4 linked regions of the Drosophila melanogaster genome follow. The protein of the gene in region 4 interacts with the protein of the main gene of each other region in a pairwise test. Each region holds a gene or a part of one and is shown on either strand. Other genes may lie near its edges.

What was found.
Region 1: the proteins of azot (region 4) and CG33229 interact in a two-hybrid assay, tested with the Drosophila melanogaster proteins (one large-scale study listed by BioGRID).
Region 2: the proteins of azot (region 4) and CG1324 interact in a two-hybrid assay, tested with the Drosophila melanogaster proteins (one large-scale study listed by BioGRID).
Region 3: the proteins of azot (region 4) and CG11380 interact in a two-hybrid assay, tested with the Drosophila melanogaster proteins (one large-scale study listed by BioGRID).

What each region holds. Positions count from the first base shown.
Region 1 is NT_037436.4:220,400-227,388, reverse strand, and holds CG33229 (uncharacterized protein), read right to left. Parts: upstream 3,538-6,989; 5' UTR 3,136-3,537; coding exon 2,632-3,135; 3' UTR 1,784-2,631; downstream 1-1,783. Other genes in the region: pyx (pyrexia), read left to right, coding at 4,778-4,804, 4,876-5,119, 5,173-5,428, 5,511-5,800, 5,865-6,133, 6,807-6,882, 6,945-6,989.
Region 2 is NC_004354.4:20,732,982-20,739,874, reverse strand, and holds CG1324 (uncharacterized protein), read left to right. Parts: upstream 1-3,914; 5' UTR 3,915-4,081; intron 4,082-4,144; 5' UTR 4,145-4,175; coding exon 4,176-5,054; 3' UTR 5,055-5,420; downstream 5,421-6,893.
Region 3 is NC_004354.4:1,188,234-1,198,728, forward strand, and holds CG11380 (uncharacterized protein), read left to right. Parts: upstream 1-3,074; 5' UTR 3,075-3,459; coding exon 3,460-3,480; intron 3,481-5,964; coding exon 5,965-6,362; intron 6,363-6,430; coding exon 6,431-7,721; 3' UTR 7,722-8,427; downstream 8,428-10,495. Other genes in the region: CG14626 (uncharacterized protein), read left to right, coding at 1-275.
Region 4 is NT_033778.4:7,946,050-7,952,097, forward strand, and holds azot (ahuizotl), read left to right. Parts: upstream 1-3,789; 5' UTR 3,790-3,839; coding exon 3,840-4,286; 3' UTR 4,287-4,416; downstream 4,417-6,048. Other genes in the region: CG14764 (uncharacterized protein), read right to left, coding at 1,556-2,471; CG34431 (uncharacterized protein), read left to right, coding at 1-933; CG30378 (uncharacterized protein), read left to right, coding at 4,454-4,900.

The sequences.
Region 1 (6,989 bases), on a different chromosome or scaffold from region 4:
AGATGTGGGCAGGCACATTCAACGGGAACAGCTTGAAAACAGAAAAAAGTTTTTCTCCATACTTTAATTAAATTTGTGTGGTGGTCCAACTACGTGGTACAATTCCATAGCATCTAAACTGTTCCACAACATGTATTTCTATAAAATACGAGAGAAAAGGGTATCGATTGCACATTCCTTACAGAGGCCGTGTACAGATTTGAGTCTGTTCAAAATGTTCCCTCTTGCGTTTAACAATAACTCTTGATTTGCAGGCTTTAATTATGGGCAGGTACATTCAACTGCACCCATAATGCTACAAGACAAAAAATATTTTGGACATAAAATCACAAATTTACATGTATTGGGCGGGCCCATAGCGCCGAGTTGGTATTCTCTGTAGATTATCAGTCCATGAAAATGTATTTCTACAAAATACGAAAGAAAAGATATCGGTTGCATATATCTTAGCTTTTACGCTTGTTCAGTTGATTAGTTATGCTTCTTTGCACATATTCTAATTGAGGGATTGATGTCGCAGGAGCGTTGTTTGGGGCCATAGAATTGAAGACCTCAATCTTCCGCCTCGCTAGATTCCATTTATACATGCCCGCAGGCACCGATCAACTGCGATGCAACGCTATAAAAAAAAAAAAAAAACGAAATGTGATGGTCGTGCCTAGTCTACAAACTCTTTGACGCCTGCTTGCGCATAGATTTGCTGGAAAGATCCTCGTCTGGAGCCCTCAAGACCGTGAATACTTGAAGACCGCAAAGCAATCCCATCAAACAAAAGCACCCACAGGAACCGATCAACTGTGACATGCAGCTACAAAGATTTAAGCGGCCTTATCTAGCCTATTGATTAGGAAGATGGGGAGTTTGAATGGAAAGGGGTCCAATAATCGCTTGCCAAAATCACAAACGGTGAAAGAGAAGTCCAGAAAAGTGTACCGAGCGAAGACAGAAAGATAAAAACTCGACGACTGCCTTTCAATTGTATATCACAATAACAATCGCACACGGTGTTCACCCGAAAGGATTACAGCAGTTCCTCAATGTCGTTTCGATGATAAATGAATGCTCCGCTGTTCTTTTCTCTGGAATTTTGTTTAAAAAGCAATATTTTGTTCGCAGCTGATATACCAAATACCGTGTATCTGTGCGGATGGGTGGGTGGTGATCAGCAGCTGCGAAGCGTTCAATGCAGAATAGGTGGTGATTGTCGGTGGTTGGCAACAGCACGAGAGCTTCAAACGCAGGTAAGCTGATGCGAGCTGGAGCTGCTGCCGCGCGCATTCCGCCTTGTCCCCAATGTTCTGTCCGCTGCGACTGAATTGCATGGGCATTGGCATGCAGAGGAGACTCGGTGGTGTTTGCTGCTGCTGCTCCCTGCTCCGGCGATCTGTGTAGAATCGGCCATCGGCTGGTTTGCGGAACTCAGTGCCTGGCGGTGGACGTGGGGGGACTCGGACAGACGTTGAGACTCACTCAGTAATTCTACAACGCAACGTCATCGTCACTGCGACGATCGTGTTCGGGATTCTTCTTTACCAGTACCAGCCATAGTCGAACTATTGTTGCTACCGGGACGCGGATTCATTCAGTGACCCACTGCGACGTAGTTTCTTGTTTGTGTTCCGTTCCTCATCATCGTTGCCATTAACGTGCGAGGAGCAGGAAACTGCAAAACAAAATTGATTATAGGTGCGGGTTATGTCAAACGGGGAGAGGGTTGGTGCTTGCTTAGCAACAAATCTGAGTCTGGTCTGGGTGAATAATAAATAAAGGCAACGTTGATTTTAACAGTTATTAATTATAATAGTTTTATTTTAGGTTTTATCAAATATCAGTTCTGTATGCTTACTTTAAGTACATTTACAGTTAATAGTTGGGTTTTCGACTTTCACTCGTTTACTTTGCAATATTGCCCGTTTTCTAGCGCTAGTGATTCAATATGAACCGTATGTAACTCGCAGAAGTGGCGATGACGAACGTTCGAATTTAATTCGAAATCGAATTTCTCGACACATCGGACAACAAAAGTAGCTCAACTTGGTGTACACAAAAATAGCACGAGCGTTCATGCTCACACACCATCGCGACATGTAGATGTGTTAATGTGTATGCATTGTGTAAGTATATCGAGTTTTTTTTTTCTTTGTCTGACCGATTTCGTGACGTTTGGGATGCCTGTAAGCGACGTCTTATTTCGCCACACTCATTAAGCTACGTAATTTAACTAAAAAAAATATACTTATTTACAAACCGAGTGTGCTCCGTGACCAATGCTTGGTGGGCTTTTCGCATAGATGGTGGCAGCGCCCATGACTCACACCACTTTCGATTTGAAGGCCGTTTGCTCAGCGTCTCCTCACACTCTTCCAATCCTTCATTCTTTCTTTACAATCTACAACAGCCTTGCACATGTTTGCGACTGCAAATGAGAAATTGGTTGTCGTAATAAAACTATTTTAACAGAAGACAAATAGGGCTAAAGCTACGTATTTGAACAATGGTATACGGTTTGATTCGAACGGGCAGCTGAAAACTAAACGGTTCCTTCCATCCTGACGCCATTTTGTTTATATAGATGTGTGTGTCAGCCACGCATACACATAAAGTACGCACCATACGGTCGTCTCTGTCTAACTAACTGGCCACGGCAATGGCGCAGCTGTGCTGCTCATTGTTGCTGTTATTGTTATTGCTGGCGCCCGTGTAACTGTTGCTCCCATTGTTATTGTTGTTGCATGTGTCTTGGTTGCCATTGTTGCTGCTTAAGCTACGCATAAAACTGTCGAGGCTACTAAGCTCGCTGCTCCATAAATTGCTTTCCGCCTCTGCTTCTGCGGCAGCCTTGGTGGTCGAGGTCGCCACTGCAGAGTACGCGTCACTGGCGCAGTGCGTTCTGCCGTGGGGCACAAACCGTGTTTGAATGTCCAGCCAGCGACTGAAGCGCTCCTGCTGCTTTCTACGCAGCTCGTGCTCTGCGTGGAGCAGGGCCGTCGACAAAATGGCGTTCACGCGTAGGTCGCTGCCAGCGCCTCTTAGCTTGCGACGCATTTTCTGGCGCTTAACGCGGAAGTTACGGACCCAGTCGGTTAGGGTCTTGGGGTTCTCGGCTGCGTCGCACTCGTCGTAGTACGCCACCATTTCGATGATCTCACAGGGTTTTTGTTTGCGACGACTCGAAGAGAAAATTGAGAATTTGGTATACACACACCTTCACTTCGTAGTTGCTACTAATCTCTTAGCGGACTGCTTATGACTGTTCTACACAACGCACTCTTTTTAACTGGGTAGAGCGCGTTGTCTGCGCGCCCTTTTATAGCTCTGCTCGCAAATCTACGCGTTTTTCTTGTCTCAGCCAGCAGGGAAACTGTTTTTTGGGGACGATTTCTGCTCGAATGCTGGCCCTACGGATCGTGATAACCACACAAGAACACGGTCTCGTTTCTTGAAAATCGATGTCCGACGTCATATTTTAGTGGTCTTCATGGGCATGGCAAAAAACTTCAATTCAAAGTAGTGGTTTTTAACTTAATTTTAATGAGTCGTCCATTTTGTATGTACAAAAAATCCTAAAAAATACCGCAAAAGTATACTGACTCAGTATATTGGTTGGGACAGTCTAACGAGGGGTGATTGATGTCTTCTATGAAATTGTAACTATAATCTGCGCTCTACATTGATCTGTTGATCTGTTTTGCATATAAGAGCAGAAGAGAACGATAAGGTCCAGTTTCTCGACTATGATATACCCGTTACCCAGGAAAAAAAATATATAAAACATTTTGGAGAGTTGCTGTGCATTAGATGGTATACCGGTAGAAATTGGAAATAGACTAATAAAATAAAAATAAAATAATGAGAAGAATAAAACCAAAACACTTTTCATAAGTGGAGGTGTTGCAGTTTTGGCCGGCTTCATAGATTTTTAGAATGGGCGTTGCCACATCTGCTGCCTAATATAAACTGTATACCTTGTAGGTACTTTTCAACGGACCTAGTACACTGCAAAAAATCCCTATAATTATGAAAAGGCAGCGATATATGTCGAAGTATGGGACATCCTCAACAAAATACTACCCCTAACTTACATGTAGTGTATTTCGAGTTGAATATGGCAAAATGCCAGGGCTGGCGTCTAGAGATTGGTTGGCGGGCTATTTAACAGTATGTTTTATATTCCTACGCACCTTGCTAGCCGCTCACTCGTCCGTACCGCAAGTAGACCTACGATGAACAAGTGCGAAGTGTTGGAGGCACTGGAGGCCGAGATCTGGAACGATCGGTTCAGTTCGACGTACAACTTAGCTGCCGTCGGTCGTGCACACAATTAACATATCCAGTGGCGGATCAGTGGCAACTGCGAAGGTGGAAAGTGGGGGGAGCAGCTGCGAACGTGAAAAATTAGCACAGATTGCCATTGCCAGCGGTGCGAAGAATCCGCCAGACATCCAGATATTCCAACAAATATCGAAGTAAACCGATCGCACAAGAGAACGTCGCCACACATGCAGCAATATCACACAAATTAGGGGCACAAGAGATTTTGAGTGTCCGCACATATTGGCCTGGGGATAATTATTTGCGTGTCATGACTTATTAGCGATCGCAGCCTATCTCCGCGAATAAGTGTAAGTAGTCGACCCCAACAAGAAGGGTGGGCCGACCCGAACAGCAGCCGGAGCCAGCTGAACAGTCGCCCGACTCGGCCGCATCCAAAAGTTTATTGTTGTTTGGTCCACGGGAGTGTAAACAAATCGGCGCAGACAGAAGTGGCGGCGTTAAGATGGAGAACGTGCGCTTTTCAATTATTGTAAGTAAAACGACTTGGCCTACATGCCTCGCGCTTTCAGCCGCCTGCAATTCTTTGTTTCTTTTTGGAAGGAAAACGACTTGAAGTGGAACTCGGAAAGCGATCCGACGGCGGATGTAGACTTGCTCTTGGACAAGCGGAGCATATCCAGTGAGGCCAACAGCGCCGGAGTTTTTAGCGACGAGGCGCACGAGATATTTGCGCGCCAACAGCAGAACCAGATCCTCTGGGACCTCGACGAGGTTAAGGAAACCCTGACCGAGTCTCCAGGCGGAAAGCATGTCGTGGACATGGTTCAATCTGGCTGTTTCCTGGGTGAGTACCTCACAGCACGGTACCTAACATATCCCAGACTAACCCCCACATAGAACTAATGACCGACTCTGCTGACTGCAATCTGGCGCTGATCTGCTGCTCGGTATTCGGGAGCGTAGAGAATACTCTCTTCCTACTAAAACACTACAACGCGGATCCGAATGTGGCGGACAGTCGGGGTCGGACCCCACTGCATTTCGCCTGCTGTCGGGCAAACGCTCCCATAGCTAAGGTTCTCCTCGACTTCGGCGCTGACCCCAATCGCTGGGATGCCAGGAAGGAGGTCACGTCGCTGCACTGTGCGGCCAGGTAAAAGGCCATTCATTTGATTGCGCTTCCCACATGTGCACAGCACTAGACACGTAGTTTTAATCAAGCGACTCCCTATTAGCTCAAAAAGCGTTGAATGCATCCTGCTGTTGCTGCGGCGAAAAGCGAGCATCAACATTGGGATCGAAAAGCGTTCCGCTCTGCACTATGCCATCGATGTGAATGCCGTGGATTGCGTTGAGATCCTGCTGAAGTACGGAGCCGACCCAAACACACCGCAGGTGTACACTGAAACTCCACTGCACACCGCCAGCGCCGCAGGATTCGCCAAATGCGTCCAGCTTCTTCTCAGTCACAACGCCGACGTGCGATCGCAGTTTGGCGAGGGAAAGGTTACGGCCCTGCACTTGGGTGAGTAGTGGCAAGGGGTTTACAAGTGCTTTGCAAAATAGATTGGTAAATCCACAAATTGCAGCTGCCGAAAACGACTATGTAGAATGTGCTCGCTTGCTCCTGGAACACCGTGCTGAGGTGGACTGCCGTAACGCCAGCCATCAAACGCCCTTGCACCTCGCCTGCCTTTCGCAGTCAATCGGCACCGTGGATTTACTGATATCTTACGGAGCCAATGTGAATGCCGTTTACCGAGATGGTAGAACCGCGTTGCACGCCGCCATCGTTAAGCAGTCGCGGAGTTTGGACTGCTGCAATGCCTTGCTAAAGGCGGGAGCGGATGTTAACAAGGTAGGCGGCAGATCACTATGAGAGCTGATCACAAAAAACCATTATTTAATATAATGTGCTTTTTCTACTAAAAAGTATTGTAAATGATAATGAAGATATTAGTATAAACCGCTTCGCTTTTCTTAATGAGGAAGGGTCAACGAAATTAATTAAATTACTTAATCGTCAAAAACGTTATTTCGGAATTTTATTTTAATAAAACTATAACCAAACTGAGAACTAGGAGCAATAGCAGCCGAGGCATTCAGTTTGTGAGACAACGACAAGAATTTTATATAAAGGCTTATATTGATCTTTATCTGGCTACTTACCATACGCTTATATCCTACATAAAATATAATTTTATAAACTTTTATAAACGTAAGCTCCTAGCTCATCAACTAAAGTGAATGCATACGGGAAGATCGGTTCAATTCGAGCATACCATGTTATAACATTCATTAAATGTTGTAAATCAAATAATACAATACAGTAACTTTAGTGAGAATACGTTGCATACATACATTTGTGTAGGGCTCCAGTGGCTCTTTACGTCATTCTTAGAGTGAAACCTAAACTAAAACTAAACTAAAATCTTAACAAACATGGAGCCTTCTTTGTAAAGTTTTACAAAAGTAAAGCCATAACGTTTTTTTTACTTACGATTAGAATAATGTATGATTATTACTTACAGGCAGACAACTATGGATATACACCACTGCACATTGCAGCACTGAATGAATTCAGCAGTTGTGTGTACACGTTCATAGGCAAGGACATGTATCATCTTTTCAACGATGTCTGCATTGCTAAATGGCCATTTTTTTCGCAGAACACGGGGCGGATATTACCGCCAGGACGGACGGGCGTGTATCGG
Region 2 (6,893 bases), on a different chromosome or scaffold from region 4:
CTGTCCAACTTGCTCATCCTTTTAATCCTTGGCAGCAGTTGCAGTCGACTCGGTTGTCGGTTGTCCTTTTGTGTGGACGGCACGCTGGGCCTCCTCCTATCTGCCATATATCTGGCGTATCGGGCTTGTCGGTAGGTGTTTTATTTGCCAAATGCATCCGACAACGCCCCGGGGGCCCAGCTACAGATACGGATACCACTAGAGGACCAGCGAGCACTTCATTAGTATCTGCGTCCTCCAAGTCGGAGCCCGAGCCCAGCCGAAATCGAAGTCCAAACCAAGAAACCGAAAGCGACAACGATCGAAGTCGAAACTCAACCTGAAACCTAACTGACGGCCTGCCTATCACTAACCGCAGTTGGTCACTTTCCTGGAATTTTCGGACAGCATCGGTCCTTTTCAAGTTGTCACCAAGCCGGGATAATTGATTCCTCAACTTTTTCAAATTACACGAAAATACATCTTTATTTAGTATTTTATCGACGCCCAGGGCATGTCAATTTAATACATTTTTTAATATGAAAACATTTAGTTAACGCTCAATAGGATTCAAAAAACCCGTTTTCGCAATATAGGTAATGTATTATACTTTCAATTCATTTGGCTGCCCGATATAAATATAAATAATATTTCTCAAGATCAGGCTAGAGAGATTATGAACGGATTTTGCGAGCCGTGACACTCCGTTGCCAATATCTTATACGCTGTTAATTCAATCTGATTGCGCCCAGATGGAGACCCAATAAAACTGAATCGACGGCAGTAAGGGAAAATTGAAACGCATAACAGCCGCAATGGGATACCCCCAATTGGGTCGCCAAATCGGTGGAATGGGGGCCTCGAATGTCCAACAAGATTTGATTTTTATCGCAAGTATATTTGAATTTTATTGCGTACGAAATTCTCGATACAATCGCCGGCCATAAAAGCGACTGGAGCCAAGTCCACCTAGCCATGGCCAAAATGGCGAAATGGTCAAAATGGGGTAAACAGCTAAACAGCAGCCGGAGAGCAGTCACCATTTCTTGGCCACGTTGGCGTCATTTTCCACGCAATAAAATAAACATTCAAAACGAAATCAACTTAAACGCCTCAAACTGACCCGGCCTTAACCCCTTGGGTCCAACTCCTTGTCCGTTCCTCAATGTGGCACATTTAGTTTTATGCTTATTTTTATGTCACTCTTTCAAGTGATACTCTGTCCAGAAGGTATTACTCAATTTTCGACGAGAGTTGCACTCACTTATGAGAAACTATAGTTTTTAATTACAACTATTGTGTATGCGTCACTTTTATGAAATTATCAACATTGAAAAAGCGGAACAGTGCTTATTCAAAGCAAGTGTGAAATGTCAAACTAAGAAATTGCGGCTAGCTTGTGTCGAGATAATTAGTTTATATTTGATATTATATAGAGCACGTTTCTGAGTTATTTAATTTTAAAAATGCATCCGGATGTCCATCTTGTGTTTGTGTTTAGTTCTGGGGGGAACGATGCCTTTTTTTAAAAATTAAACGCTCTAAAATACGTATTGTAACATAAATATACACACAGAGAGTGTATGGTCCTTTGCTACGTTTACGTAATTTTTGTGTTGTTTTTGCTGCCTTTTTTTTTCCAGAACCCTCCTCCCGGGTCAAAGTTTCAATGGCCAGTGGCCGCAAATCCCCGCCAGCTTGCAGCTAATAGTTTGGGTAAACAAGGGACTCGGGCAGAAAAGGGTTGATTTAATAAGCTGGACCGATTCGATTCGAATTCTATTATCTGTTGTCCCCCATCAGGACCCAAATCAAATGCGTATTTATCGGGACTTAAATGAGCCAAGAAGGGGGCTGGAAATCGGAACACCCACGAGCTGCTGAATGGCCCAAAGTGCCTTGGCCACAATGGGTTCGGTTCGGTTTTTGGTTTGGGTATAGGAGTGGGAATGGGTATGGGTATGGGCATGGGCATGGGTGTGGGTATGGGTATGTGCTTCTGTTTCTGTTTAGGTTTCGGTCTGTGGGCTTTGTTGGCCATTTGATGGAAGCCAAAAGTCAGGGCACAGAAGCAGCAGTAAACAATCGTAAAATCTCGAAGGAGACAATGGGCTGGCCAGGAAGTGGAAACGACAATGCCGGCATCTCGTTCTCCGTGTGCGGTGACATCATCGGCCAATGCCAAATAGCAAATGCCAAACAACAATTACCCAGGGCTGTTACCATTTTCTCGGCCCTGATTGCTTCATTTTCGGTGGCCAACAACTCCGCTGGATGAGTTATGGCCACATGGATGGCTCATCTCCAGACCAGCTTCTGTCGCAGTTTCAGTTCAGTTTCAGCTCAGTTCCAGTCCACAATAAGATCTCAATGGGATGTTTGAGGGATCCTCGGACGGGTTTGATTTATACTGCGGATGCGTCTGGCATCGACCAGCCGTTGGCCTCATAAATGTCCCAGAAGGACCTCCGGCAGCTGCCAGTAACCATTTCAGGGTATTTTTAAGCCATAATTGTATTACGACAAGCTCATTTTAAATGGTCTCCACCTTTCAAAAGCCTACGTATCCTTACAGTATTTAATTCGCAGCTAAAAACCTCGTGATTCTTTTCGCATCTCAAGCAAAAGTTTCGATGGTTCTATATTAAAGAGAATTATTAGTTGGTCAACATATTATATGCGTTACTTCCGAATTGGTCGGCGGTGTAAGGCGTCGTCATGCTATGAAAACCCATTTTCCCGAGCCCTAAAAACCTTGGACCAAACAACAAACGACTTTTATGCGTTGACATAAAAGGGCGCAGCATCAGAAAATCAAAAACGATAAAAACGGTCTCTCAACTTTTATTTTACCCCGCATGTGGAGCTGCAAATTGTCATTAGACATGCCGAATTTATGATTTTCGACTGTGATTTCGCTCTCTTTTTGGGCAATCTGCCATTCGATCCAGCACCACCCACCGACGCCCGCTTAAGTATGCTACACACATTTTTTTGGTAACCCTTACCAAGGCCCAAAGCACCCCTTTACTTTACCCCTCCGCCGCCGATGTGTATGTGGCACACAAACTCATAAATTGTATAAATTGTTCGGCTATTATTTCTCGTGGCTGTCAACGCAATATTGCAGGCAAATTGTCCTGGACAATGACGACAACATGTTGGCGGGGAAATGGGCAAGCAGGGGTTATAGGTCGGCTTGGAAATACATTTTTCTATGTGTTTTTATGAGCCCCGAATGTGAGATGGAGGCACATCAAAATGGAGATTACCTCTAGTTTTCCGACAACCTGTTTTATTAACAAGTTTTCACCTCTCGTATCGTACCTTCTAACGTGTATGATTTAGGTACGATTGGTCCAGCTGTGAATCTGCTGCTTATGTTCAGTGATTCTATCAATATAATCTATCATTTTCAGACGACAATTTCGGTTGCAGACCGCCAACCCCTTAATCCCTAACCATATATGGATTTTTTATATAACCATTTTTATGGAATTTTCTGCTCGTTTGTGTCAGATTTTTACCCATTTTTCGCAATTGACTTTGCAGCCTTGACTTACGCCAAATGACATAATTAGCCATGGGCGGGGGGCGTGGCAGGTAGTCGTTTTAGGGCTAGGGTTATTATATAGCACGTAACCCTAGCGCTGGCCATGCGCCATAAAAGATGCAATTTCGCGCGAATTCTAACCCCAGCAAATCCTTTTTCGTCCTGCACTTTAATGCCCGTTTTTTTTTCCACCGAAAATACCCGGGTTTCCTCCCTTTTTATGCCGTTTTTATTATTATTTGCGAAAACGGTTAGAAAGTCAATTGTTTTATGGGATTACGGAAAAGCAGCAGGCGGGGCATTCCAGTAGGTGCTGCCTCAAAAGTCAGCTGCCCAAACATTTGGGGCCTACAACGCTACGCCCAGATCCCCAGTCGTTCTCCGAGCACCGACTCGACAAGACCCAAAATATATTCGAGCTCAAAAGTTTACAATTTCGAACAAAGTCAAGGCTTCACAAAATTTTCATATAAAATTCACCGTTGAAAATAACTTTTCGTTCCGCTCTTTTTTCGTTCCTTTTCTGTTTAAATATACAATATATATTAGGTAAAAAATAACATACTACACGTACAACTTTTCAAATTCAACAAAAATATATATTCCATACAGATTAAACGGCGTACGGACCCACTGAGTTACAATGCAACGTTCCATTTTCAAGAGTAGCTGTTCCAGGACACTGATCCTGCTTAACTCCCTGAAATCCATGCACCACAAGAGCCTGCACGTGGAGCAACTGTTGGAGGCAGCTCCAGCGCCCAAAAACCGCTGCCTGGATCTGTTGGGTCGCTTGATCCATGGCCGATTGAGTCTCTTGGGCGGTCGTCCTGTCCCGCCCAGATTCTTACCGCTATTGGCGGGTGATCGAAGCCTGTACTTTAATGCGGACGAGGACGAAGAGTTTCGTAAGCGTTTGGCCATGCAGCTGAAGGAGTTGCGAGAGACCCTGCAAGAAAAACAGGAACTTCGCGAGGGACAAGAGCAGGACTTTCAGGAGCTGGAGCAACAGGACGAGGAGGAGGATCAGCCGTATGTGCCCAGATCTCGGGAGATCTCCATGGAGGATCTCACTGACGAGGAGCTAAGTGACGTGCGGGGGCTGCGGATGAGTGCCAGCCAGGATGATGGCAAGTCTGGTAATTTCGAGCAGCCAGAAACCAGTGAATTGGAAAGCGAGGAGACGGCGGATGCTAAGGATCCCCGGGAGTCCGGGCAGCCGCGAGAGCCTCAAGATGCCCACGATGCCATCGAACACGTTCGCGAGGGTGAAATCGAAGGAGTTTACTGGACGGGCGAGGGCAAACGGATTGTCACTCAAACGCCACAGCGTAAGACGGGTCATTCGGGATTCATCGATGGCCATGGCGAAGAGATTCCCCAGGAGGACTCCAAGCAAGAGGTGGCTCCCTATCACCCTGAGCCTCGGGCCCAGGCGCAGGCCACCTCCAAGGTGATAAGGAAGGGCCGCAAGCCCAAGTCGTCAACCAAAACCAACACGCCCAGCGATTCCGACGAATAACTAAATTGCCAGTAAATGAAACCAAAACCCTCGAGCTGGGATCGCTAAAATAAATACAAAAGGCTAAAGACAAAACGCTCTATGCCGTGTTTCCCTTTCCCAGTAACCATCTGAGGTTTCTGCGGGTTGCATTCAGTTGAGTCATCTGCAGCCAGCACTACCTGGCCACTGCTTAGCAAATTTTATGCAATGACCAGGAGTCAAGGACGATTTACCTGGGCGGACAACACACGCTTCCCACACGCGGCGGTGGGCACTCTCACTCTTTTTTGCGTCCTCTAAAATCCTTTTTTACAGCCCTATCCTTTTTTTGGCTTTTGGTGGAATTCTGGGAAAATTTTACATAAAGATCGTAGAACACCGAGCATGTTTTTTTTTTTTAATATAATTTTTCAAATAGATTCAAATGTTGCTAGCCATTGGTGGCTCGTTTAATGGTTTAATCAACATGGACAAGAGCCAAGTCCATATTCTCCCCTGTCTGTGGCTGTTCCTTCTGTACCTGCTCCATTGACCCAAGATGATAAATGATGTTTGCCAATCTAGCTGACCCAAGGCCGGAAATTAAATTTGTTCGAAAATTTGCCACTTTTCCCCGTCTGTTTCTTATTTGTTGTTTGTTTCCCCCTCAGAGTCACGCCCGAAAAAAATCTGGAGAAAGGACTGTGGGAACAAAATGGGGAGGAGATATGGAGAATTAATATCGGGCTTTGGGAATCTTGTAGAACAAAAACATATACATATAACAAAATAATGTTCTTGATGTTCTATTTTTAACTAGAAGAATCTTGGGATTAAAATACAAGTTTTTATTGACTTTTGATACAAGACTTGTTTCATAAATATAATAGCAAATGAGTGCTCGCCGGTTTTCAATTTATAAACGTATTTGAACGTAGGTATCCGAGATAATTCTGTTGGTCAATTAAGTTGTTAATGTCTCTGGACTGTAGTATCTCCAAAACCGGTTATTAGTCAGATGGGAGCTCCTAGAGAATGGGACGACCTCCCATTGAGCAGCCTGCAAACTGCGACAGTTTATTGAAACATTTTTCAGCATTTCTTACACAAATCCGTGGTCTGGACAATAGGGGGCTACGGAGTACAGTGGATCCTCATTAATCATGTCACATTTAGACCGTATATACCGGCTGCGGTTGTTGACGGTGCCAGTTCGTCTGCCGAGATCCCTGAAAGTGAAACCCTAACTATTATCAGGGATTTTTCACTCTCGGCTTTGTGCGGTTTGTTTGGGGTTCGGTTTCCCAAAAAGAAAAAATCAAATAAAACGAAAAAACGCGGGGACAAATGAAAACATCATATCATTCATAACACTTGTTTAGCTGGCATTGATTGAGCCAACAACACACACCCCATGATCCTGACCATTTCCTCTGCATTGTCCTAAGCGATTTCTCAGTTCTCCGTTCTCGATTCTCAGTTCTTAATTCTCATTTCTCGGTTTTTATACCCCATTTCTCAGTTGCCAGTTCTCAGTTCCCAACCTGTTCACTTTCATTGATGGCCAGATCCTTATTGTTTACGGAAAACATTTCGAGTTCAACTGAATCGCTCATTGTTTGATTGGAATTGATTAATGTGCCCCTGGTTCTGAGTTCTATTCATCGTTTAGCGTTTCCCTTTTTTTTTTTAAGAAAGTCGGTTGTGTACCAGCATGGAGCGGGACCAGTACAGGTTGGCCTGGGTTAATGAGGCCCTCAATAAGTCAATTAGTTGGCTGCAGCGGGGATTAGGGTTGATCCGGTCTTTGTTCGAAGGCCTCAACTCGTTTCTGACTTGGTCAATTGACTTGTTTGCCTCTTTTTAATTTTAATTTTA
Region 3 (10,495 bases), on a different chromosome or scaffold from region 4:
GACCGGGTTCGGAGCGTATCAGGCCATTCCGGCCATCGCAACCGGATCCCACGCCCGATTTGTTTGCTGGACGCTCCTCGAAATCATTGATCGACTCGTACATTCCCAGCTGGGAGGTACTGCGCCTGATCAGACAGCACCAGCCGCAGCAAGGATTCACGCCCATCGCACGCCAAACACTCGCGTATCCCGCTCCGGCGCACTTGAGGCTCTACAAGCGAGATTCCCAGGAGGACCGGTCGAGAATCGTCAAGGAAACCTTACCCGAACCTTAGAGTTCGAGTTCGGGCTTAGCGTACGATTTAATTTTTTGTTTCTTAATTTACCTACAAATACGAATATTTATTGCCGCAAAAATGAGATTGTATTTTGTTAAACCTTATAATGGGGTCTTTTGGTGTCATTACGGGTTCGAATGTTTATGAATATAGAACCGATTGCCATCAGTCTCGTGATGAAATTAGTTTTCTCCTAAAGTCATAAAGTTGATCGGTGATCACATAACAGCATACACATGGCCAACAAGCCGCATCCCCAGCTCTGCAACTCTTCAGCTCGCCATTTAAGCCAGGCCAGTCCAGGCCATCGCGGGCCAAAAGCGAAGCCAATCGCATCAAATGTGCAATATGTGACTTTGTCAATGAGCCAGTTGAGCCCCAAAGCCACCGATTCGATTCCTTGGACTCTCCCCCAGAGGTTTTACTCACGTAATCGCGGCCATAAACCAAACAGCCAGCAATAACAAACAATTACGGTGCGATGCCACTCGGAGTGGCCACAAAATTATGATTTGTGTGGCAGTGTGCGGAGATGCGGAGATGCGGAGATGCAGAGATGCGGCTTCGAAATCCACGAGACAGAAGACACGAGACTGAAAGACGGACAGGTGGAGATTTATGCAAGTAGGAAGCGAAGATGCTGCAGTTGCAACTTGCGAATTTCGAGTTGTGGCAGTTGTTTGTGTTGCCGTTTTTTTTTTTTTTTTTCGTTTCGTTTCGCTGAGCTGCGCTTCTTTTGGCCATCTCATGGCTGTTAATGAAGCACAAAATTGCTGCATTGTTTGTCACCCATTAAATATGCAGACGACAGACGGAAAATAAGGATGATAATGATGATGATGACGGGCAGCCCTGCCCTGCTTTAAAGGGTATTTCCTGGCTGCCGTTCATTCCGGTGATGGCGAAGACCACACTGAGAGAAATAGCATATAAAATCTCGATGTTTCTGTCGCATTATAGAGAACTGTATTGAGCCAAAGCCAGTGACCTTCTCGTGGGGTCACATCTCGCTCCAGTTGAACGAGCCGAAATAAATCGTCTGCTCGATCGTAAATACGCATTCGAATTGATAAAGAAAGGGTCGCGCTTTGTGGAGGATGCCCACGGTCAGCCTTCTCGATTTTGGCTTTGTGTGCGATGCGATCCGTAGGCCTCTTCATCAGCATGGGACTTGCCCGGCACAATAAATAATCATAATGCCGCATTATGACGGCTGACTAAGTGACATTGTTGCACCTCTGAACAATGAGCCATGGCTAGTTGAATTGTTGAAATCGAGCTAACGTTGAGGTTCGGCCGCTTGGTTTGGCAATGCTTTCTTAGCCGCGGCTTTGATTCGCTCCGGTCATTGTTGGCATCGGAATTGGGCGGAATCGAATGGATCGGAGTGCCCGAGCACAAAAGAGCATCGAACTGGCGGGCTGACCAGCATTTCAATTGCGTATTCTCCTTATCGATGCGCGACCATCAATGGGAACTTAATCGAAATAGCTAGCCGACAGAGGGAGACCCTAAAGGAGGAGAGTCAAAGCGATTAAACATCACCTATTTCAACCTAAATGGACAAACATGTTTCGATTCTTTGTCCACATGCACTTTCTTCACCATGTCACTTTCGGAGATTGTCGACGACCCTGAAACGGCCAACACATTTCGAATGCAAGGGTACCACCAGGCGGCAAAAACACTTTCGACAGTGCCGCCTCGTGATTGCGAATGATGTTTTTGGGTTTTAGCTTGCAGTGTTCAGTTATCTACGGCCTTTTATCGTTATCTCGGTCCGCTTAGTGTCGTGTCTTGTGTCTTTTGACAAAATGGATTACCAAATCCCACCAGCGACGATCCGAACACAAACGCCACTCTTGTTATGCCATTTCTCCTTTGGCGCTGGGCAAAGCCAAAAGCGAAAAGCCACTCCAAATCCCAGGCCAAGCCCAAGCGAAAACAACTTAATGCGCCAATTAAAGTGCCACTACTCGCGGACCTCCGGCACTCTCTTTTTTTCCCATCTGGATGGGATGCTCTGCAATTGTTTTCATGCAAATTTCAGTTTCTGTTTCGATTGGTTTGTGGCTTTATGCGGGCCAGCGGAATACAGAAATAATAATAATAATGAACCCAAAACGTATTCACCCGAAATGAAAGGCCCCGGAATCGGTCTTTTGAGTCCAGGCCTTTGTCATAAGCCAAAGTTACGCCAATATTTTTATGGCTTTGAACTTGAACTGGAAAAGCCAAGACAAAAGCGTCGCCGTTTTGTCCCCAAAGAAATTGGAAAGGTTTCCCAGTTCCCTCCATATCTGGTTATCTACTATACAATCATATATATAAATATATATATATATGGCCCTTTGTGAAAGATTGCTCTCCCATGGCGAATCAAGGTCGATCATCTATGATTCTCAGCACGGGAAGCTCCATGCCTAGATGGCAATGGAAACTATTCAATGAACAAAGTGGGCAGGAATATTTAAACGGGCACATCTGTAACATCTCCCCTACTCGTATTCCAGTGCCTCAAACTACATCTTCCCAATTCCGCAACTTTTTTTTCTCCGCATTTTATCTCTCTGTATCTGACCAGCATCTAAAGTACTCCAGCACTTTGTTTACAGTTGCGGCAATCCCAGGCAACCTACACCTTCAGTCACACACAGCTACGTGCGGTGTCATTGGTGGTGAACTTCGGTCTTCTTTTCCCGATCCCCGGTCCACAATACGCCTTCGCCTTCGCCTTTGGCTTTGGTTTCAGCTTTAGCTTCAGCTTCAGCTTCAGCTTCAAAAATTCAACTTCAACTCCAACTCCGAAGCCGATATTCCAGCTTGATGCAACCCGAAGACCAAGTTGTTATGCTGTGCTTGCGATATAAAAACCGCGAGCATCGCCAGCGCCATCCGCAGTAAGAGGCGCGACTTTTGAACGCTAGCACCGCTCCGATTCCGATTCCGACTACGAATCTGAGACGAAAATCAAAACCAAATTCGTATAGACACTATAACCAACATAACTTAAACCCACCAGCCCGGCCGTGTACCCTTGGTATTTTTTGTTTTTGTGGTTCTCGAAGACACAAATGTATTGAAAAGTGCATATATTATTACATATAACATATAACGTCAATATCAAATTCGGATTTTGTGAAAAAGTCGCTGTGCATGCGCATTGATACCTGGAATCGCCATGAGATTAGCGTTAATATTGGTAAGAGTAGGAGTAAGATTATACAATCTCCTTTAGAAAACCCGGAAAATAGACCCACCCACCAATCGAATTGTGCAATTTGTGCGGGATAAAAACTAGTCGTCGGCTGACAAATTAATTTGCATTCAAGTGGTGCAGTGCTGGCCAAGCCGGCTTAGAAAGTGGTTGCAGTTCAACCAACTCGACCAGGTGTACGATACAATGAACTCCCAACTCCCGCTGTCTATGGTGTCTCCATATCTCGATAATCTTGACCTTTTCACTCGCTCCACTGACTCCTGCCCTTCGGCTTCTCGGCTATCTGACCCTGCCCTTGCCCACTTTGCCAGTCCGTGTCCAGATCCATCTATCAAGCAGCACGATGGAGGAGTAGTGGGGTTGAGTTGCGTCAATCGCCCACTAATTGGACGCTAAGATGGTAGAATCACAAATCTGGCGATTGCCGAAGTGGCCAGCAGAGATTCGTTTACGCAAATGTGCACACTGAACGAAATTAAGGGGTGGTAGGTGGTAAAGTGTCTTCACATTGAATCAAGCGGCTATAAATATTTATTTGCATTACTCATAAAAGAAATCATCTTGTGATATATTAAGTAAGTAAGTTTTGAACCAACGTACTAAAGTACCTAAATGTCAGGCAATAGCGTGTATTTAATTTATAAGGGCACTTTACAACTATGTCAACAAAGAAGTTCGAACGAGAAGCTTAATTTAACTTTTATTAATATTCGTACATATTGTTAGTCTATCCACATATTTGGATGTAGTCTTTTCCTTCGCAGCGCTGGAAAGACTCGTTTTCTGGAGTCGCCACTCGTGTGGTTACATAAAGTTATTACGCCCCATCCGATGGGGGAGAAGGCGCCGCTCAGCCACTGGCAGGATAATCTGTAGACGTCTAATTTACATTTTATTGTTGTGCTTGGCTTTGATGTTGCAGCAGCTGCTGTGCTGCTGCTGCTGCTGCTGCTGCTGCTGCTGCTGGTGATGCAACAACGAAAGTGAAACAATAACTAACACACCGCAGCACACAAACTGGGCAAAAATCCAAGTCCGACTAATTTGCACGCGTTGCGTGACGATCGTTTGCCCCGACTTGCCGTTGTTTGTAGCTCGTAATTTGCAATGCGGGAATGGGAATCTCATCTCTGGCGCAAAATCGCCCACCAACCCGTCCACTCGGTTCGATTCTTTGTGCGGCAAGTGAAAGGCAAGGCGACTTCGGGACTTGATGCAATTAAATTAAATTATTACAGAAAATAATTGGTAAAGATAAATCAATACGAAGACAGATCTAACTAGTTGCTGCTCTGCTCCTTCTGTATGAGCGGTGGAGGTTACATAAAAGCAGTTCGCTCTTCGGGTCCCACAGCTCATGCTAGCATTTGACAAAAATCCGCAGCTATTCGCTGTTGCGGCTGACTTGTGGCAAGGCGAGTGTGCCAAAAAAAAAACTCTTCCTGCTTAACGACTAGGCTAAATAACAACTGCTACATAAGCAACCAGCAGTAAAGAGACGACAACGACTATTAAAATGACTTGACACACTGTCCTAGTTTCGGGTAACATAACACACACACTCACTTACTCACTCACTCACTGGATAATCGAGTCACAAAGTGCAATTAAAACTTAACTAACCAAGCGAAGTACGAAATTATTGCTGCACATGGAAAACTGGGAGAGGCGCATGCTGCAATTATGGCATGCAAAGTCAGTAAACTATTTTGCTACTTGGAGGGCTAATTCGATTTGAACCGTAAATCTGAAATTAAAGAGTAATGATCAGTAATGACAAGAACCTAGCCTAAACTGGATTAAATGAAACATTATCAGGCTAATAACCCATAATTCGCATGTATCAGTAACAGTTAGCGACCGTAACCCATAATCGTCACCCAGATAATCATCATTTGATCGATGAAAACCGAACCATTAGTGTTATCTACCACCATTTGCGAATCAAATGACTGAAGGCACGAACTGCGGACAAGCGCTAAAATGAAAAGACTCAAGACACGAACTCAAAGACATCGAGATTCAATTACAACACCAATTCGCCTGACGAAATGTCAAATGTGAAACCTCTTCTCAGCGTGTGTTGTGCATCGAATGGCTTAACGATCGATATTGAGAGCGATAGATGGACCACAGCTTTTGTCTCCAACTCCCCCTTTGTCACCCTCTATTGTCTTTGCCTCTTACCTTGAGCCCGAACCAAGATTGGCCAAAACGAAACCAACAATTTTCACAATTTGATTTGAGTTGATTCCGACAACGAACCTAATGTCTTTCCAGCTTTGGAACATTTTTAAATCGTTACAAATTCTTGAAAAGCTAACTTCGATAGACTTCCTGTTTGTTTCAACTCGCAAGCTGGTAGCTAAGCTTTAAATAATATCAAAAAAGCAATTCCTTTAGTTAAATGTATAAGTCCTATAAAATTGATAAACATTTTACCTTGTGTTTGTCTATATTTCACAGGGCACTCTTAGTGCTATAGTGTGCTTGGCCAGCAGCTTGAGCCAGTCAGAGGCGAGTGGCTCAAAGGGCAATGGATTTCCCAAAAAGGTTACCACCCTGAAGAAGCGACCAACAAAAACGCCGACCACAGTTCCGATTTCCATCAGCAGAGCAACCACTTTGAAGCCCAGTAAGCCACGCGTGAAGATCGGCACATCGGCAACCACCAAGAGCCCCACGAAAGCACCGGCCTTAACCGAGACATTTGGCAATCTGCCGGCGGATGACCTGGAATTCATTAAGGAGCTGGACAAGCAGTTCAAACTGCACGGAAACAAGATCAAGATCAAGGTGGAGAGGGATAATTCCACGAGTAGCGGCGGCAAGAACAGCAAGAGGACCATCGAGGGGGATTTGGGGTGAGACCATGGATGACAGCATTTTGACTGACCAGATATTAACCCATCTAACTTCTATATCCAAACAGATACGGCTACTCGCATCCTGGCTATGATTACACGCCGCCCAAGTTCATGTTCTATCCATACTCACAGCATGATATTCCCTCGGGCTTTGCCCTTCCACAGCCACATCCGGAGGAGCAGGAGGAGGAGGCACACCAGCCGGCAATGCAACATCATCACAATCACGAGCAAGTGACCAGCGTGACCATTGAGCCCTCGTACTCCTACGAGCTTAAGCCCCAGACCAGCTATGAAACCCAACCGCAGCACACAGCTCCCGAGCAGCCGCAGATTGATCTGCCCCAGGATGAAGCGGAAAGTCCCAGTGGTGCAGGTGGTTCCAGTGGCCACGGGGGATATCAGGAGCCCGTCATTGTCTTGCGTATTCCAGGACCCGCCAAGTACGCCGCCCATTTGCAGACCCTTCTCCAGCAATATCTGGAGATCAGAGCGGCCCAGTACCTCAGCTTGCTCCAGGAGGCCGATCAGCAGCAACAACAACAGCAGCATCAGCATGTGGATCCTTCGCAGCAATATGGACCACCAGAACCGGCCACCTACCATCAGGAAGTCAGCTACGCCCACCAACTGGCACCCACGCCGGCACCCGTCCAGTACGCACCCATCGATGATGTCTACCAGAGCTACAAGGGTCGCCACCAGCAACAGCTGCAGCTGCAGCAGCAACAATATGAGCCGCAACAATACTACGCGCCCATGGACTACCAGCAGCCCACACAGTTCTACTACGCTCAGCCCCAATCCCATTTGCAGCAGCAGCCTCAGCTCTATCTGATAGCAATGGCCCAGCCGGAAACGGAACCGGAGCCGCAACCACAGCAGCACCATCATCAGCAGCACCATCATCATCTTCAGCAGCAGCAGCAGCAGCAGCAACCAATATACGTTCCAGAATCTGATCCACCGACGGGTCCTTCAGGTGGTCCTGAACAGGAACCGGAGGCGGACCACAGCCTTCCCATAACGGAAAACAACCCACGACCCACCCACACCAAGGTCATTTTTAATCCGTACCCCTACCAGCAGCAGCAGCATCAACCGCAACAGCAGACCACCAACATCGAGGAGCACCAGCACCAGCCTGAGGGCGAACGCCCCTTCAACTACCACGCCCATGCGATCAAGATGCGCCAGGGCAAAAGGGCGGCCAAGCCGGAACCCGCGGATGGGGACGTGGGTCCCAGTTCGGGCGACAAGGGACTCCAACAGATCAGGGAGTATGTGAGGGAGAAACTGGGCGCTGAAATGGGTTCGGCTGTCGAATACAAGACGACACAGCTGCTCGAGGGCTGAGGTCTGGATAAATGTTCAGATGTTCGAAGGCATGGAAACTCATTTGACCGAACGCACTATCTCTGCCTGGATGAACTAAACCAATTTTTAAACTTGGCAATCTTCAAACGATTTTATCAAAGGTTTTTTCGGATGCCTTAGAATTCTAGAATTAAATTTTAAATCGCTTACGCACGTTTTCTATGTATATATCCAGGCAAGCCATCTTTAAAACAAATTCAAACATCCGTACATTATGAATATGGGGATCAAGTCCAGCAAGACAGTAAAATTCCAGTGAGTGCCATGCCCACGTTCACTCGTATTCTTAACACACAATTTGTGGTTGCTTCTTGTGCCTGATATCCGCTCATTAGTATTTATTCCAAGCTAGAGGAGCAGAACGATCCCGGGGTGATCCTCCAGCTCCAAATCTCATCCAACACCTACCCGCAATCCCTGAGCTACACAGCCAAGGCATACTTTTGGCCGGAAAAGAGGGCGCCTAAAGATAGGCATAGTTTTCTTTTCTTAGCGAAGAGGTGCTGCCGGGACACATTCGCTTTTCATTATTTTGTACGACGTTTTTTTTTATGTTGTTTATATTGTTAACCAAGAAAATGTGCTGCTGATCATGTGTGCAATATTTAGTCTTAATGTGCTTCTTGATTTACCTATATTATGTACTTGTATTTTTGTATGATTAAACCGAAAAGAAATTAATTTGAAAACCAAATAACTCTTTCCATTTTATTCGAATATTTGGCCAATTCACGGAAGTCACGCAGCAAAGCCATAAAAATAGCATCAAATCCGGCGTAACTGAAGTACTAAAAGCTGAACGATTTTGACACGAGTGTTACAACAAATTTTTGTTAAATTAAATACACCGAATTGTTAGCAGGCACGCAATTGGAAAATGCGGGGAAAATCCCGGAGGAAATTTGCGAGGATGATGGCCCTCGCCATTCCAAAGAGTTCTCTTTTCCCTATCAAGTCAAGTAGTTAGCATGGCAAGAGTTCTGGGTGTGTGACTATACCTGTAGTTCAGCGCAACAAGATCCTCAAATGCACAGCATCATTGTACATAAAATAAGTTTATATGATCTGTGCTACACAGTGGCTGCTTGTTGTGGAGTGGTTTCTGGTGAAGCTGACGTTTTATGGGTCCATTGTTGGGACGTAGCAATCGTTTATTCAGATCTTAAAGCAGGTGCTTTTCACTTTTTCGGCACAGCGAAAGGAAGTACTGGATGATTGATAAGATTCCGGGACAGGGAAAAGACCCTGATTCCCTGAATGGCCTTACTTTGAAAGCAAATTGGAAGGCTTCCCAAAGGTTCAAACAAAACAATGTGATCGACGGCGCACTTCTGAATTCCCCGTGCAAAATGGCCAGGCGTAGAGATCACCATCCCGATGGGAGGAGGAGGTACGGCATTGGGAATGCAAATGCAAATGCAAATGCAAGTGACGAATGAAAATGCGAATCTGCCAGTGAGTGCGGAAGCTGCCGACCGCTTTTTAATTTGAGTGGAAAGTAGTCGACAGGCGCTGCCGCATTTCAAAATTATAGAAATTGGCACAATTTACCATCCATTGCGGCAGCTGATTATGCTAATTGTTTGTCAGTAGTATCTCGAATCTTTACGTAAACATCCATGTGGCAAGATGGATGTGGCAAAAAGGAAGAGACCGCCATGTGAAAGTACTGGGCTTGTTGGGGCGGCAAATCGTAGCAAATTACAGTAGATGACTGGTGCACTAGATTAAGTCGGACTTAAGTAGGTTTCTGTCACTTTATTTGCCGTAAAGTGAGTTCTGATCTCTCTGGCCAGAACTTGCGTTTTTTAGCAGCAGAAGAGGTCACTTTTCAGATCTAAACGATCATCTTGAAAGAAAATACCAGCTCCGGCTATAAACAACTAATTGCTTTACAATGTGTGGCAGGGTGGGAGATGAAAGATGTAAGCAATCCGATCCACAAACATAACATTTTTCAGCATTGTCGAAGCGTTGCAGCTGCCACAGTGCAGCAAAGGCAATAGGAAAGTTAAAGAAATAAATAAATGCTGATCGGTGTATGAAGATGTATGAGATGAAGAACTTAAATACATTTACGATACATTTCAAGCCGCAGTTAAATCTTTGATTGAATTAGTTAAATTGAATTAAAAACCCAATCCTTGGCAAATCAATTGGTATTGAGACTGTTCATCTGGTGCGGCTGCCACAGCTGTTTCTTTGGCAGCTGGCAGCTGGTAGTGGATTTGGTAGTTTCTGCAGTTTTTGGCCGCATAACGGGGCATGGATAGCCATGGCTATATGTATCTATGTACCTATGGCAATCGCACTCGACTGCTGACAAGGTTGTTGATCTGCACATATGTGGAGGAGCCGAAACGCTTTGCCAGCTTTGTTTTGCTTTGCTTTAGCCGCTGCAAAGTTGTTTCGCTTTTATTATTACGGCTATTATCGTTAGTGTTAAGTGTGGCAATTGTTTCATTTTCAGTTTCAGTTTCGTTTTTCGCTTCTCATGCAGAATATTAAAATATAAATCATACGCCCTGTGGGCCAGCGCCATAGTCCGCAATAAAGAAATCCCCGGCCAGCACGTAAGGGAAATCAATGAAATGCCAATTGGCAAGTTATTCCAAGGCGTACTCCCAGTTCTCTAAGTCCGGATCTCTTTATCGAAATTGAAATCATCGCTGTTGGTTTTCGGCAACGGCAATTGCTGCTGCTCTTTCGGTAAAATCATCATAAATCAGCGAACACTTTTCTCCGTTTGTCTG
Region 4 (6,048 bases):
GATTCCAAATCACACACACCAAGGGAGGCAGAAATTATTTCTAACCGCAAAGCCTTCCGTACCATGGACACGAATCTGAGGAATTTCACTAGACAAACTGCTACTAACATCTTTCTTAACGTTGACAGGCTGAGTGACAAAAAAGTTGGCTCAAAGTTAGAACTTTTGGAGCAACTAAATCGATTAGAGACCTTAAAACACGGAAATAGCGACAATTTTGAGTACTTTGAGGAATCTGTTTCGCCGTTGGGCTATGAGATTTCTGAAAAATTAAATAGAACATTTGCGTCGATCAAAAGAATAAATCAGTCCAGGGCGAATGCAGAACTGTTTATTTTAGACGACAGAGATTCACCCATGGACTTTTTGACTTACGATGACTATCAAGGAAAGTATGTTCCCTTGGCCGAAGAGAAACCCCAACCACCCAATCGTCGAAGAAAGAAACGATCTAAACGACTTTTCGTTCCCAAAACTGACGCAGGTACACAGACTGAATGCGAGTGTGAAATTTGCTGTTCGTTGCAAAAGTATAGGACTGAAAAAGTATCACCTTTGCTAATGGAAATGACAATGAAAAGAAATTTTTTGAATCAACGACAATACTATATGGAAAATCTCAAGAAAAGAAAGTTAAAAGCACCTGTTTCAGAAAAAAGGGAATTAATCTCCATAACTAAGCCCAATCAAAGCGATTGCGAAGCGAAACACAGAAGTCACAAAGATGTAAATTTGTATTCTCGTTACCCCAAAATCATTTCCGAAACCCTTGAGAACCTTACATCCCCCCTTCGATTTGAAAACTACACACGAGAATTATTAAAGGCTTACAAGGCACTCGATGTGACAAAAATGATATCACGCTGTTATCAAACACTTTTTGAAGCCGAGCAACGAACGAATGGAATATTTCCAAATACCTTTGATCCTTAACCGAAAATTTGTCGACTATAAAGTATCTGAATCTAGTCAATCAATGAAGATACAGAAATGAGCATTTGACTGCATATAACATGCGCGAGAAAATGAATGAAATTGGAAAAGAAGCATTTTCTTTCTTTGGATTCATCAATTAAAAATGAGCTCTGTGTTTAATTCGCCAGGAGTGCCAGGAAGTGAACACAGAGTTCATTTCAGATGAATTCAAGGAAATGAAAGCTTATTTCTATTAAAAATTCACCTATGCTTGGTAAGCATTATATGTAATAACCAGCCAAAAAGTGAGTATTGTTGACTACTTAGTTTGGGAAATGCCGGTCGAATAAAAATGAATTGTTCGTTAAGAAAGGCAATGTCACTTTTGCCATCAATCCCAATTCAGGTGGTAATTACATAAATTTCCCCGATGTGAGTGCCATCAACGGAATGCCGTGCAAATGACAGTTATTAGTACACGAGCCTAGCCCCGAAGGAGAGCTTGGGGGTTGGAGGTTTGAACGTACGTTTGATTGATTTATATTGGCGTCAGGCAGTGACTGAGGAACATTTCTAATGACAGTTTTACATATCCCTATGACGCCACCACCACCACCACCACCCATCCCACCCGACTCACCGATCGGATCGATGCACTCGAGGGTGAGGCAGCACTTCAGCCAGGGAAGCATGATCTTCTCGGCCACCAAGGAGCTGTCCGAGAAGAAGACAGCATCCAGGTCGACCATCCGAAGAAAGTTAAACTCCTCAGCTTTCGACTCAAAGTAGTCGAACATTTTTGGATGCGTCAGAGAGGATACCGCCGTCGCTGTGTTCCATCCGAGCACTCCAGCGGACTTGACTGCAGATTTTCCCACTCCTGGATTCATAACGATGCTCTGCAGACTTCGCAGCTGGGCGGAACCTCCGCGCACGCGCATGCTGTTTTCCAAGAAGAGAACCGATCGGGCACGCATAAGACCGTCCTTAATTACAATGGGCCGGTAGGCGTGCGTCCGCTGATCGGCGACGAAGGAGGGAAACTCCGACAGATCATAGGTGATCACCGAGCATCGGCTGTTATTACAGTAGGCGCCCAAATCCCGTAGTTGCTCCTCGGAAACGCCCAAATCGTAGATTAGCAGGTACTCGCTGGGAAGCTTGGCGGCAATATTCTGGGCCAGCAGGATGGCCGATGCGGCCTGCCCCTCCAGCACATAGCTGACGATTGTGAAGTTGCTCTTTGTACCGTTGTACGGCGTCGTGATCCGCTTCCGCTGCCCCTTTTGATCTCCTGCCTGACTACCGAAGGTAACAGCATCCTGTGGACGCCGCAGACCTCGCAGTTCGCTGAGCTCCAGTTCCGCTTTTGTAGCCGGCGCTGAAAAATCTGTCTTTGGCAGTTGCTGACCTGGTGAACCGATGTCCACCACATTTTGCTGATCCAGCTGCTGCTGTTGGCCTGTAGCTTCATTTGACGAGGTGAAGCCCAGAAGAAGCAAATACTTTGGGTCTATTTCGAGCTTTTTGCGTTCCAAGCCAACGCGGAGGTTTTCCTGCAAGAAAAAAAATTAAATTTGCAATAAATGAATATTTTTGGTTTATCCAAGAAATAAACAAGAGATTTATTATTTAAGTTTTGACATACGGTTCCCGAACCCCACTCTTAGAAAATTATTTATGTCGGGCCAGGCGGCGTTAATGGTCAAAAAATATGGCCAGAATTTGCCTCGTCATAGGAACAATTCCGAAACACACATGTGAGATATGTTTCCATTATGGCCCTCTAGCACACTTCCTCTGTTTCGCCGAAACTAGCCCAAACAAATACCCAAACACAACCAAAAATCAAATGAGCCGCACAATGGAACCCTCTCGTGCCGATGTCAAATTCTTGTCTATTATTTGCTTAGACTGTGGCCAGAGTAAAGCGTGCCGCATTCTCTGCCCACCCCCCCGGGCACTACCACTCCTCCGGCAGCCAAAAACCGGTGTCAGGTGTGTCCCACTGCGGTCAGGTGAAAGGGCCGAGGGGGAGAAGCACTGGAATTAACCTGCGGCAAAAAGGCAGCCGCCAAAGTTGCAGGCTAGGCGCCAAACCCAAATCGCATGACAACCTTTCTGTGCCGATAGCAACCACTACACTTGTATGGCAGTACACTCAAAACACTCTTGTTAAGTATGAATAGTATGGTATGCTGATTCATAGATAGATTATTTAATGTATAGCAAAACTTACGAATAAGTTTAAGCAATCAAGAACAAAATCTTACATTTACATTTTTATACCAGTTACTCGTGAAGCTAAAGGAGTTATTCATCCAGATCACTAGTCGATCTGGATAAGCCCGTCTGTCCTTCCGTCTGCCTGTCCGTCCGTATGAACGTCGAGATCTCGGGAACTATAAAAGTTCACTAATGTTGTTTTCATTCTACACAAATATTTTGGCGTTGCAAACTTCTGTTGAGTTCTTGTATTTCGAATAGCGAAAAGATGAGCCTTTTTTTTCTTGAGTGTGCGTTGGAACAATGACGGTGATTGTACACATTCTTACTCCTTAACTTTCCTCGAACGGCACTCTCCTTCTGTTTTGTTAACGAACAACGAAAGATACTAGCTGACGTCCGTTGCTGGGTCGCAATTGAAACCGATCAGCTGCAAGGCCTCCTCGCCCAAGGACATTCGAATCAATCAACTCTGTCCGTGCGGCACTGCGCTTATATAACGAGCATATTGATTTTGTGCCATTCGGTGTTGTGCACTGTGCAGCGCAGTGAAGCCACCGGGGGATGTTCATTTTACCATTTTTCACATTTCACTGAGTTCAATGTCAGGACCTTGTTTCATCCAAACATCAGTTGACACCTACATATAAACAGAGCAATATACAACTCTTCCGAGAAACTATAATATACCAGTTAAGATGGAGGATATTTCGCATGAGGAGCGAGTCCTGATCCTTGACACTTTCCGTATTTTGGACAAGGACAACGAGGGCGCCATAACATCTAAAGAGATGGCGGTGGTGATTCGCGCCCTGGGTCGCCAGCCCAACGACGCCGAGGTTCAGTCCATGATCAATGAGGTGGATTCGGAGGGAAACGGATCCATCGTGGCTCCGGAGTTCTGCAATGTGATTCTGCGCAAGATGCGCGACACCAACCATGAGGACGAGCTGCGCGAAGCTTTCCGAATTTTCGACAAGGATAACAATGGCTACATTACCACCACCGAGCTAAAAAATGTGTTCACCGCGCTGGGCGTAAAGCTCAGCGACGACGAGTTGGAAGAAATGATACGCGAGTACGACTTGGATCAGGACAATCACTTGAATTACGAGGAGTTCGTCAACATGATGACAATGCGATAGCCTCCATGTGAGTACTCGTATAGAAGGCTGGCTTGATTTCTATCCAACAAAAAGTCGGCGTTCTGTCTGTGTTCAGTTTAAATTCTTTATGTTCACACTGACAAAAGCACATGAAACATTAGTCCACTACAAAAAAAAAAAAAAAAAAGAAAATCACTTTGGAAACAATGAGCGGCAGTTTGACCGAGGCCCAGATTGAAGAAATTCGAGAAGCATTCAGTTTGTATGACAAGGAACGGTCCGGATGGGTTTCCGTCCAACAGCTCGGCGGAGTAATGCGGGCCCTTGGAGAGAGTCTCACCGAGGCGGAGATCTACGACCTGGCCAACGAAAGTAACGCCGACTTCGGTGGGCAGGTGCAGTTCAAGGACTTTCTATACGTGATGAGCAAACGGCTGGAGGAGCAGAACAGTCTGGTGTGCCTAAAGCAGGCCTTCAAAATCTTCGATCGCAGCGAAGTGAACAGCTTTACAATTAACGAGATCAGAATGGTGATGACCAACCTGGGCGAGAAGATGTCCGAAGAGGACTTGCGCGAGTTGTTCCAGGACATTGATCAGGACAAAGATGGAAAGATCTCCTTCAACGAATTTGTTACCGCCATGCGAAGCTAGGAATTCCAAATTGAAGGCACAAATTAACCACGAACCCCTTTCGAAAGAGCCCAACCCAGTCGCGTTTTCCCTACGCCTAGGCGGCACCACTTGAAATTCCCAACCAAATTCCTTTGGCTTACTCAACGCAGCGCCAGAAAGTCGGCTGTTAAACCTTGTCCGAAGAAGTCCACTTGTGTGTGTCCATGTGGCACGGCGCGTGACTCCGAAACGGTCGCATGTGCCTAATGGCCGCTGGGGAGTGCCAGGATATTCGAAAGGGTGATGGCGATGGGCCAGAGCAATCATAAAATCGAGCCACGCTGATTACGATGCCAATTTAAATATTTGACCATGTGCTGGACTGGACTGGACTCGCTGGTTTCCTTTTTGTCTGACCAAGTTTACAAGTGGCATGATTTTGGGTTCAAGTCTTATCGCACCTTGCTCTTTTTAAATTACCTTGTTATCTATTGGCACCCTTAATACGCATACAACATACATTGTCCATGACTCATTCGGCAATTATAAAAGCCCACCTTGGCAATAAAATATTGTCAAGTGACTAGTGACTAATAATTTGTAAGGGGGAAAGGTTTATAAATTTGAATGCGCCTTCGTGCATGGATTTCAGAACATATATAAAAGAAAATCATGTATAGAGAAAGAATAATTGATGCCGAATTCGGAGAAATATTTCGGGGCTGGGATGCATTACTCGGAAAGATTTCACGATTTCGTCATTGCTAATCCTATTTGTAAAAGGTAAATACCCACAATAACCCCAAAAATACTTAATTATGCTTAATTGAAAAATTAAAACATTAGCTTCTTTATTTTACATCCACTTACAGTTAACCCACGGACTTATTAATGTTAATCAAAAGTCGAGAGGTCATTCCGACGTTCATATGTTTCTAGCGCTTCATATGGATAATTTAAATAGGTTATCGTTCAGCTACAGTTTAATTGCATTGCTCTGCATGTGAGTGGCGGTGCGACATTGAACCGATGGCTATAGGCAATCAATAGCGCCTGTTTACTCCTCACACAGGTAAATATGGAATACGAGTAATCGCTGTGCAAGCGCATTGATAAAGCCCGCGCTCCTCGCTGTAATTTAAGTCATTGATTAGTGTCGTCCATTAAGAAAGTTGACACAAATTGTC